Callithrix jacchus: one gene and its partner. The protein of the gene in region 2 binds, or shares a complex with, the protein of the main gene of each other region. Links are inferred from orthologs where the notes say so. Each region holds a gene or a part of one and is shown on either strand. Other genes may lie near its edges. The genes, in order: BAG6 and UBL4A.

Evidence for each region.
Region 1: the proteins of UBL4A (region 2) and BAG6 are in contact, whole or in part, in a crystal structure (PDB 4X86), measured with the Homo sapiens proteins. The link is inferred for Callithrix jacchus from reciprocal best matches to the Homo sapiens genes UBL4A and BAG6. Residues at the interface, in NP_055050.1 of Homo sapiens: Val95, Leu98, Ile99, Val102, Leu103, Arg105, His106, Phe107, Ser108, Asp111, Arg114, Val115, Gln118, Leu119, Asp122, Tyr123, Glu124, Ser126, Leu127, Ser128, Leu130, Ile135, Leu138, Arg141, Phe142; in NP_001092004.1 of Homo sapiens: Gly1052, Pro1053, Leu1055, Leu1057, Ala1060, Val1061, Ala1064, Ala1065, Ala1067, Ala1068, Ala1070, Arg1071, Pro1072, Leu1073, Thr1074, Ser1078, Leu1079, Asp1082, Leu1083, Glu1087, Val1088, Ser1091, Tyr1092, Gln1095, Leu1096, Asp1099, Ile1100, Arg1103, Leu1104.

The regions. Positions count from the first base shown.
Region 1 is NC_133505.1:39,148,434-39,152,233, forward strand, and holds part of BAG6 (large proline-rich protein BAG6), read right to left. Parts: intron 2,870-3,800; coding exon 2,752-2,869; intron 2,638-2,751; coding exon 2,441-2,637; intron 2,207-2,440; coding exon 2,153-2,206; intron 1,994-2,152; coding exon 1,919-1,993; intron 513-1,918; coding exon 274-512; intron 1-273. UniProt on the Homo sapiens protein: ATP-independent molecular chaperone preventing the aggregation of misfolded and hydrophobic patches-containing proteins.
Region 2 is NC_133524.1:150,279,920-150,284,451, forward strand, and holds UBL4A (ubiquitin-like protein 4A), read right to left. Parts: upstream 3,018-4,532; 5' UTR 2,995-3,017; coding exon 2,947-2,994; intron 2,750-2,946; coding exon 2,644-2,749; intron 2,417-2,643; coding exon 2,208-2,416; intron 2,115-2,207; coding exon 2,004-2,114; 3' UTR 235-2,003; downstream 1-234. Other genes in the region: SLC10A3 (P3 protein), read right to left, coding at 3,940-4,532. UniProt on the Homo sapiens protein: As part of a cytosolic protein quality control complex, the BAG6/BAT3 complex, maintains misfolded and hydrophobic patches-containing proteins in a soluble state and participates in their proper delivery to the endoplasmic reticulum or alternatively can promote their sorting to the proteasome where they undergo degradation.

The DNA of each region.
Region 1 (3,800 bases), on a different chromosome or scaffold from region 2:
AGAGAATAAGCCTATGTGAACTCAGAGAAGAGAATTCTGATCAGGCTCAGGAGATATCATTTGGATTTCCTTGCCACAGGGAGAGCAGTTCTTGTCAGCTGCCTCTCCTAGCATCATTTACTTATACTGAGATATACCCTCCTCGACTCTCAATGCTAACCCTCCAACTAAGACCTCCAAACAATCCTTTCCTTCCTTTACAATGGTTGATTTTCTTCTCCCCACACTTCACTCAGGATTCCCCACCCCCTAAAGATTCCCTCCATCTCTTACTTGGGTGCATTTGTCTCTGGGGCAGGTGTTGGGCCCGCTGGGGCTGGGCCAGAAGGGGTGAGCTCTGGGTTTTGGGCTGGGGTGTGCTCTTCCACTTCTTCTGCCTCCATGGGCTCCCGAGGAGGTGCTTCACTTTCAGCTGGTTCTGATGTTTGAGAGCTCAAGGCTACTGGCTCCGGGGTCACAGTTGGTGGCTGCGGGGGTGGCTGGCTGTGCTGCGGTTGGGAACCCCCTCGACACTGAAGGTGGGGAAGAGTCAGGATACCAAAAGGCAGGATGAGACTGCTGCAGAGGATTACTCTGCAGGAGACTGAATAGAGAAAGTGTCCTAACTAGGCTCCCTGAAGGCAGGGCTCTGCAATTGTATATCTGACTTTCTAGCAACTAGCATAAGACTAACATAAATTAGATGAATAAGCATCTGTAATTTTTTTTTTTTTTTTGAGACAGAGTCTCACTCTGTCATCCAGGCTGGAATGCAGTGGCATGATTTCAGCTCACTGCAATCTCCACCTCCCAGATTCAAGCAATCCAGGACTATAAGCACATGCAACCACAACCAGCAAATTTTTGTACTTTTAGTAGAGACAGGGTTTCGCAATGTTGGCCAGACTTGTCTGGAACTCCTGACTGCAGGTTGTCCACTTGCCATGGCCTCCCAAGGTGCTGGGATTACAGGCAGAAACCACCACGCCTGCCCATAGCATCTGTAATATTTGTCAACAGATTTCTAACAAAGAGTAGAGATTGTGGTTTCCTGACCTTCACTAGTTAAGAGTGTGGAATCCTTTTTTTTTTTTTTTTCCCTGAGATGGAGTCTCACTCTCTCACCCAGGTTCAAGTGCTATGATCTCGGCTTGCTGCAACCTCTGCTCCCGAGTTTAAGCGATTCTCCTACCTCAGCCTCCCAAGTAACTGAGACCACAGGCATGCAGCACATGCCACCACACCCAGCTAATTTTTGTATTTTTAGTAGAGATGGGGTTTCACCATATTGGCCAGGCTGGTCTCACTGACCTCCGCCTGCCTTGACCTCCCAAAGTGCTGGGATTACAGGCTTGAGCCCCCACGCCAGGCCAAATGTGGAATCCTTTAATTGAAAAGAGATCCCAGCCAGGCGCGGTGGCTCATGCCTATAATCCCAGCACTTTAGGAGGCCGAGGCGGGTGGATCACAAGGTCAAGAGATCAAGACCATCCTGGTCAACAAGGTGAAACCCCGTCTCTACTAAAAATACAAAAATTAGCTGGGCATGGTGGTGCACGCCTGTAGTCCCAGCTACTCGGGAGGCTGAGGCAGGAGAATTGCTTGAACCCAGGAGGCAGGGGTTGCAGTGAGCCAAGATCGTGCCATTGCACTCCAGTCTGGGTAACAACAGCGAAACTCCGTCTGAAAAAAAAAAAGAGATCCCATGAGACAAATCTGAAACAAACTCCCCAGATACCAGGCACCAGGCACCAAGAGGACTGGTAGAAATGAGAGCAGCTCACAAAGATACGTTTTTCTGTCCAAAAGAATGAATACTGCAAAGAAGTCTAGATTACGAAGGCCAAACCCTGTGAATGTGGCCAGTTATGCCCCAACCCCCAGGCTGAGAGAAAAGGGGGAAGGTGGGGAGAGACTCTAGCCAGCCTTGCCCACTTACCTCCATCCGGGATAGTAAGGTCTGTATATCCCTGATCATGTGCTGAGCCATCACCAGCCGTACCCGGGGCTCACTCTACAATGAGAGAAGAGTGATCAGGGTAGGTTACAGATGAAGCCATGAATTCTACCACCTACTAAATCAGGTCCCAGCCATCTTTCAACCAGGTCTACCCCACCTCCCAGCCTCCTTCTCCCAGATCCCCTTCCCTGACCCTCCAAGGCCCCTCAATACCTGAATCGGGGCCTGTTCCATGTTGATGTGAACATCCACAGCAGAGCCGTCACTCTGGGGAAAGGGTAAGGGAAGTTGTTCTGGGAGAAGCCAATACTAAGGCCTCCACTCTTCCGATTCATTCCCTGGAGCCCCGCTCTCTTTTCTCCTTAAACACTGACACCAATAGCATACCACAGGGCCCCCTGAACCCAACCTAAAGATGGAAGCATCTATCTTATTAATACCCTGCTGCTACCACAACCAAAGCTACCCACAAAGACCCTCCCCTGTGGAACATAAGCTTACAGGAAGATTGAAGGTTCCAACCATGACATAGCTGTTGGCATTCCGGTCATGAACAGAGGCCCCAGGCCCCCGAGTACCAGGCGGGGGTCCCCCACCATGAGTGGCTGAGGCAGACCCCGTCCCAGAAGATGCCCCAGAAGGGAGCTGAGTCTGAGGAGGAGCCCGTTCCACCAGGTGGATAACCTTTCCCCCAACATCTGCAGAAAAATAGACACACACCAAAACATAGTATGAACAGGTAAACCCGTGGCCTCAACTCAACACTCCAGATAGCAGTCTCAACGTCTCAACTGCCTCCCCAGTCGCCTTACTATATTCCTGGAGCTTCTTATCATCTTGCAGAACTCGTCCCTGGTAAATGAGCCGTTGTTTTTCAGATGGGATGCTGACAGAGGCAGCAATGTGCTCCTTAAACTCTTTCACATTCATCTGCAAGGAAGAGAAGGTATGCACAGGAATGGAAAGAATAGAGGAAAGAGGAAGAACAGAGACGGACAACTGACAGAATCACCACCCATTTGTCTTGACTGTGAGGTAATCACCGTGCAAACCCTTAAACTGAAGTAACAGCTGTCAAAATATAGACAATAAACTTGGCTGGGTGCAGTGGCTCACACCTGTATTCCCAACACTTTGAGAAGCCAAGGTCAGGCAGATCACCTGAGGTCAGGAGTTCCAGACCAGCCTAACATGATGAAATCCTGTCTCTACTAAAAATACAAAAATAATTAGCTAGGTGTGGTAGTGGGCACCTGTAATCCCAGCTACTAGGGAGGCTGAGGCAAGAGAATCATTTTAACCAGGGAGGCAGAGGTTGCTGAGATTGTGCCATTGTACTCCAGCCCAGGCAACAGAGTGAGACTCCATCTCAAAAAATTAAATAAATAAATTTAATGAAGCTCAGGTTATATATAGGTCCATGAAAAATAACATGGATGAGAAACAAAACAAAAAAAACATCTGGACATTACATTCTCTGCCTGGCTCCCACGGGAATGTGTGTCTGAAACATCAGTGACCCCTTTCCAAACACAAAATGATACCAGGAGTTTATTTATCAGACTCTCCTATAATTCCCAAGATTAAAAAATGGCAAAGAAGATGGGGTCTGGAATCAGGTTAATGAAGAAAAACTGGCCAGGCACGATGGCTCAAGCCTGAAATCCCAGCACTTTGGGAGGCCAAGGCGGGTGGATCACGAGGTCAAGAGATCGAGACTCTCCTGGTCAAATTAGTGAAACCCCGTCTCTACTAAAGATACAAAAAATTGGCCGGGCGCGGTGGCTCAAGCCTGTAATCCCAGCACTTTGGAAGGCCGAGGCGGGTGGATCACGAGGTCAACAGATTGAGACCATCCTGG
Region 2 (4,532 bases):
TCCTCCACTACCTCCAAGGTGACCCTGATCTTTCTGACACATGTATGGCCCCTGTAGTAGACCGCTGCCATTTGCAGCCACAATTGAGGACATCCATTCATCCAGCCCTCCCCCAGAGCCTTCTGTCCCTTGCACAGCCCATCCAGGGAAGTGGCCCCATGCCTAGCTCAGGGAGACAGCCCTGATGGAGAATTACCCTCTACCGCGGCCAAAATGATTGGACACACAGTCCAGTTGTGACCAATGAGAAGAGTGTTTATTTGCTGGGGCATCTGGCAGTGAGGCAGGGATTCCATGCAAGCTGCAGGCAGCCATCTTTTCATCCTTGGAGGTGATGGCCTGGGATGAAGCAGATACGAACGCAGAGGGAGGCAGGAAGACACTGGGTGAAATTGCTCACCTGCTGCCAATGCCAACACCACTGGACTTTTCCTTTCATTAAGTCAAGAAATTTCCTGTACTGATTCAACAAATTGCCTTTATTTTTAAACCAATTATTGGATACCAGAAGCAGCCTAGCTAATATAGCTCCTTTGGATAAAAGTAGAAGTTTCACGTTCACCTTTAATGTTATTTCACTTTCCAAAATTAATTTCCTGGCACCAAACAAGAACCCTGGTAAATGTATCACCTGAGCTGCAGGCCACACATGCTCACAAGCATGTCCCTCCACATATGGCTTTGAAGCCACATACATGGCTTTCCAGCTCTCGTGGGTGGCCAGGGGCTTTTGTGTGCTCTTCAGAGCCTTCACTCATTCGGCCTCTGCCCATATTTCCAGCCTGGGGACCCAATATTTGGCCCACAAGGCCCAGGCAGGAGGGTCTCCAGCACGTGCAGCCCTGACCACACTGAGCTGCTCCCTTGGCAAGGGTGGAGGGGCTGGAGTGGTGTCTTCCTGCCTGTGGCTTCCTTCCAGCCTCTACCACCCCTGGGGGCCTCCTCCAAGGAGCAGGCACTTCAATGTCCTCTAGTGCCCATGCGCAGGGCAGGGTGGAGGAGGAACTGGAACCCAGCCCATGCTTCTGCCCCTGCCTTGGCACCCCAAGGTTTCCTCTCAGGCAATAAGGAGCATACGAAGTAAGCCCCCGCACACAGATGGCTGGGATGTATTCGTCTTCCACATGGTGGCAAATGCTGGGGATGAGGATAAATGCCTACACCAGTCCCAGCTCTGACACTGCCTTTCTGAGTCACCCATCAGCCCTAATGCTTCCTGGAGGAGGAGACAAGCAGACAGGGTGCCCCAGAGAAGAGCTGTGTCACCAAAGGCCAGGACACCCATCTCTGGGTCACACTTGGCCATGCTTTGCTTTTGACTTCAGTTCGTTTATTGAACAGAAGGGAGAAGAGCACTGTTAACACTCCCCACCCTGGGCTGGGGTAAGGGCGGAGAACACTGACTCAGATCAGGAAGTGGCCCTCACCCTATAGAGTCTGTGGCGGGGGACCAAAGTGGCACTGAGACTTGCCCAAAGTCATATCACAGAGCTGGGGTGACTTTCTCACTCCCTGGCCCCAACCTGCTTTTCCATTTGTAGAACGCTCACTAGCTGTAGCAGCTGGGGGATCCAGGGCTGGCTGCAACTTGGCCTCCTGCAGCAGTGAGCTGAGGGTTAATGCTGGACCCGCCAGAAGTCAGGTGACAACTGCTTCCCCTTTCAGGCTTGGGAAGGAGTTGCTTGAGTGTATATTCTCAGTGGGCTAAATATGACAAGTGAGCTCAGCTCTCCAAGCAGCCCCTTCCTCCTTGTCACATCAAGGCACTTTCAGAAGCTGCTGGACTCCAACTGGGGCTCCTCCCCTGCGTCGCCCCCGCTGTGCTGGCTCTCCTCTTCCAAGGGTGTGGAAGCAAACCCAGGTCAAGCTGTGAGTGGTGCCTAGCACCTGGCCAGAGCCAGGTACCTGCCAGCTATTATTATGAGCCCAACTGCAACTGAACACACGTTGTGTGATGTTCAGCCGTGGCCTGGCGTTGGGCACCTCCCTATGCTCTGAGAATGCTATTTGGAGAAGCCCTTCTCCATCGTCTCAGTCACTTCTGGATGCAGGAAACGGCCAGCCAATCGTTCGATGTCGTCCAGTGTCAGGCGGCTCAGGGACCTCTCGTAATCCTGGGGAGAGAAAGGCAGGAAGATTCAGGGGATGGCAGTGGGGGGCTGGGAGCAGCTGGGCCTAGAAAGGATGTCCAGGGTTGCCCTTCTCACCCTCTGTAGCTGTTCCAGGACCCTGCTGGCATCTGCCGCGCTGAAGTGACGGGCCAAGACTTTGGAGATCAGCTGCCAGACCTGCGGGGGTGGGGAGTCGGCCAGTCTCCGGCCAGTGCCTTCTTCTAGTAGCACCTTCTCCAGGGGTTTGACCACTAGGTTGAGCTTGGAGTTGGGCCCGATGCTATAATCCGAGAGTCGTTTCCCATCTGCCAAAGACAGATCGATGAGTTTCTCCCTGCCGCCGTGGGGGTGGCCCAGGACACGAGGCCGCTTCGGGCTGCGGGATTCAGCTTTGCAGCATGCGGTCGTCTACCCTGGAGTCAAGTGGCGCTGGGCGCCGGCACCCCGACCCGTCACACGGCTGCCGAGGCGGCCAGAGCACCCTGGCCCCGCTTCCTGCGGGGCTCCCTGGGCGTCTCCTCTCCCTGGGTACCTGCCAGGGCCTTGCCCTTGAAGAGCAGCCGCTGCTGGCGCACGGGGACGTTCAGCTTCTCTGAGACCAGCTGCTTCAGCGTGGACACCAGCTCGTCCTCCGGCACCTGGCCGCGCCGAGGGTGGGAGGCAGGGATTGAGCCCGCGGCCCTCGGTCGACGAAGCCCACGCGTCCGCTACCGAGGGCGGCTCTCTCGGCTACCAGCCCCCGGCCCGGCCGCCCCGTGCCCGCCCTCGGCCCTGGCGGTCCTCCTGTTAGGGGCGGGCGACTGACGGGCCCGGCAGCCCGGCCCCGGGACCCTACCTGCAGGCTGCAGTCGCGGCCCTGCAGCGCCTTCACCGTCAGCTGCATGGCGGCCGCGGCGGCGTCCACTCGGGCGGGCGCGCACCCCAACCACCCCCCGCCGCGCGCCGCCGCCCCGGTCGCGCGCCGGATCCACCCGCTGCCGCCGGAAGCAGCAAGAGGGGCGCGCCCGCCGCCCGCGCTTCCCGGCCCCGCCCTCCTGTCCCGTTCACGCCCCCCACCCCAATTGCGCCCCGGGAGGAGGAGTCCCCCTGGGGTTCCGCCTCGCAAACGCGCAGCGACTGCCCTAGCCGGCGGACCCTTCCCAAAGCCACAGTGCGGGGAATTTGGGAGCTAGAACCCGTCGGGTCAGGTTGGCGTCATGTAGGAGCTGGGGCATGGAGAAGGAAGGGCCAAGAGTTACGCTCGCCCCCGCGGATGGCCTGAACCACCCCACATATCCTGACAGCTGGCGGAGCCGGGCCCTGCAAACCCACAGACGGCCCGCCCCCACCCCCTGCCCGCTGGGTTTCTGCCTCCTCCTTTCTGGTCTGGCTGCAAAACACCCCACCGAGTTTGAGAGCGGGCAGGGGAGCCAGGCCTCTGCTCTCATCCTCCCACCTCTCCCAGAATGGGGACATTCCTGGGGAGGGCTGATAGAGAAAGCCTGTGCATGGGTCACCGTGTCATCCAAGCTGGTCCTCCACCCTGGTCCACACCTACCCAGCACACTCTACCCCCAAGCCCAGGCACCAAAGGGCAAAGATTGGAAGGGACCCAAGCTTGCTTCTGTCTTTTATTGAAATATATTTTTGGGGCAGTGCCCACCTACCTAACTCAGCATGGCCTCCTTGGCACTGAAAGCTGGAGAATAAAAAAATCAGTAAAAAAAATAAGCCTGGATTTTTCTGAGTGCATAGTGCATGAGAACTAAAGGCCTTTGGTACACAAGAACTCTGGGGACAGTAGGTGGAGTGTGGAGGCTGGGACTGACGAAAGCTTGACCCAGAGGCCTCAGGGAACTGGGAACAGGCTGCTGTAGATGAAGTGGCCGATGACCAAGGCCAGCATCTCAGAGGTGCCACTCAGTGCCACAATGAAGGGGGCCTGGGAGGCATAGTCAGCCTGAAGGCGGCGGAGGGATAGCTGTAGCATGGCCAAGGCCAGCAGGCTGTTCTGCACCCCTACCTCAATGCTGACTGTCCGCCGCTGGGCCACTGGCAGCCTCAGACACGTGGCCAAGCAGTAGCCCACCAACAGGCCAACCAGGGGCACCGTGATACCCACCAGCACGATGGGTAGCCTGACGCCTGCCAGGATGAAGACCCCCATGCGATAGGCCAGGAAGAGGCCGCCCAGGAGGAGCACAAAACTGAAGGGCTTGATGACCTGCAGCAGCAGTTGGGAGAACTTGGGGAGCTTGGATTTGATGAGCACACCCACTGCTATGGGGATGGCAATGAACAGCAGGGTCCCCAGGATCTTGGATATGGGCACGTGGAGTGTTTCATGGACACTGAGCAGGCGGCTGTAGATGGCTGAAGACAGTGGCAAGAAACCAGTGGCAGCCACCGTGGAGATGAACGTCATGGAGATGGCCAGTGTGA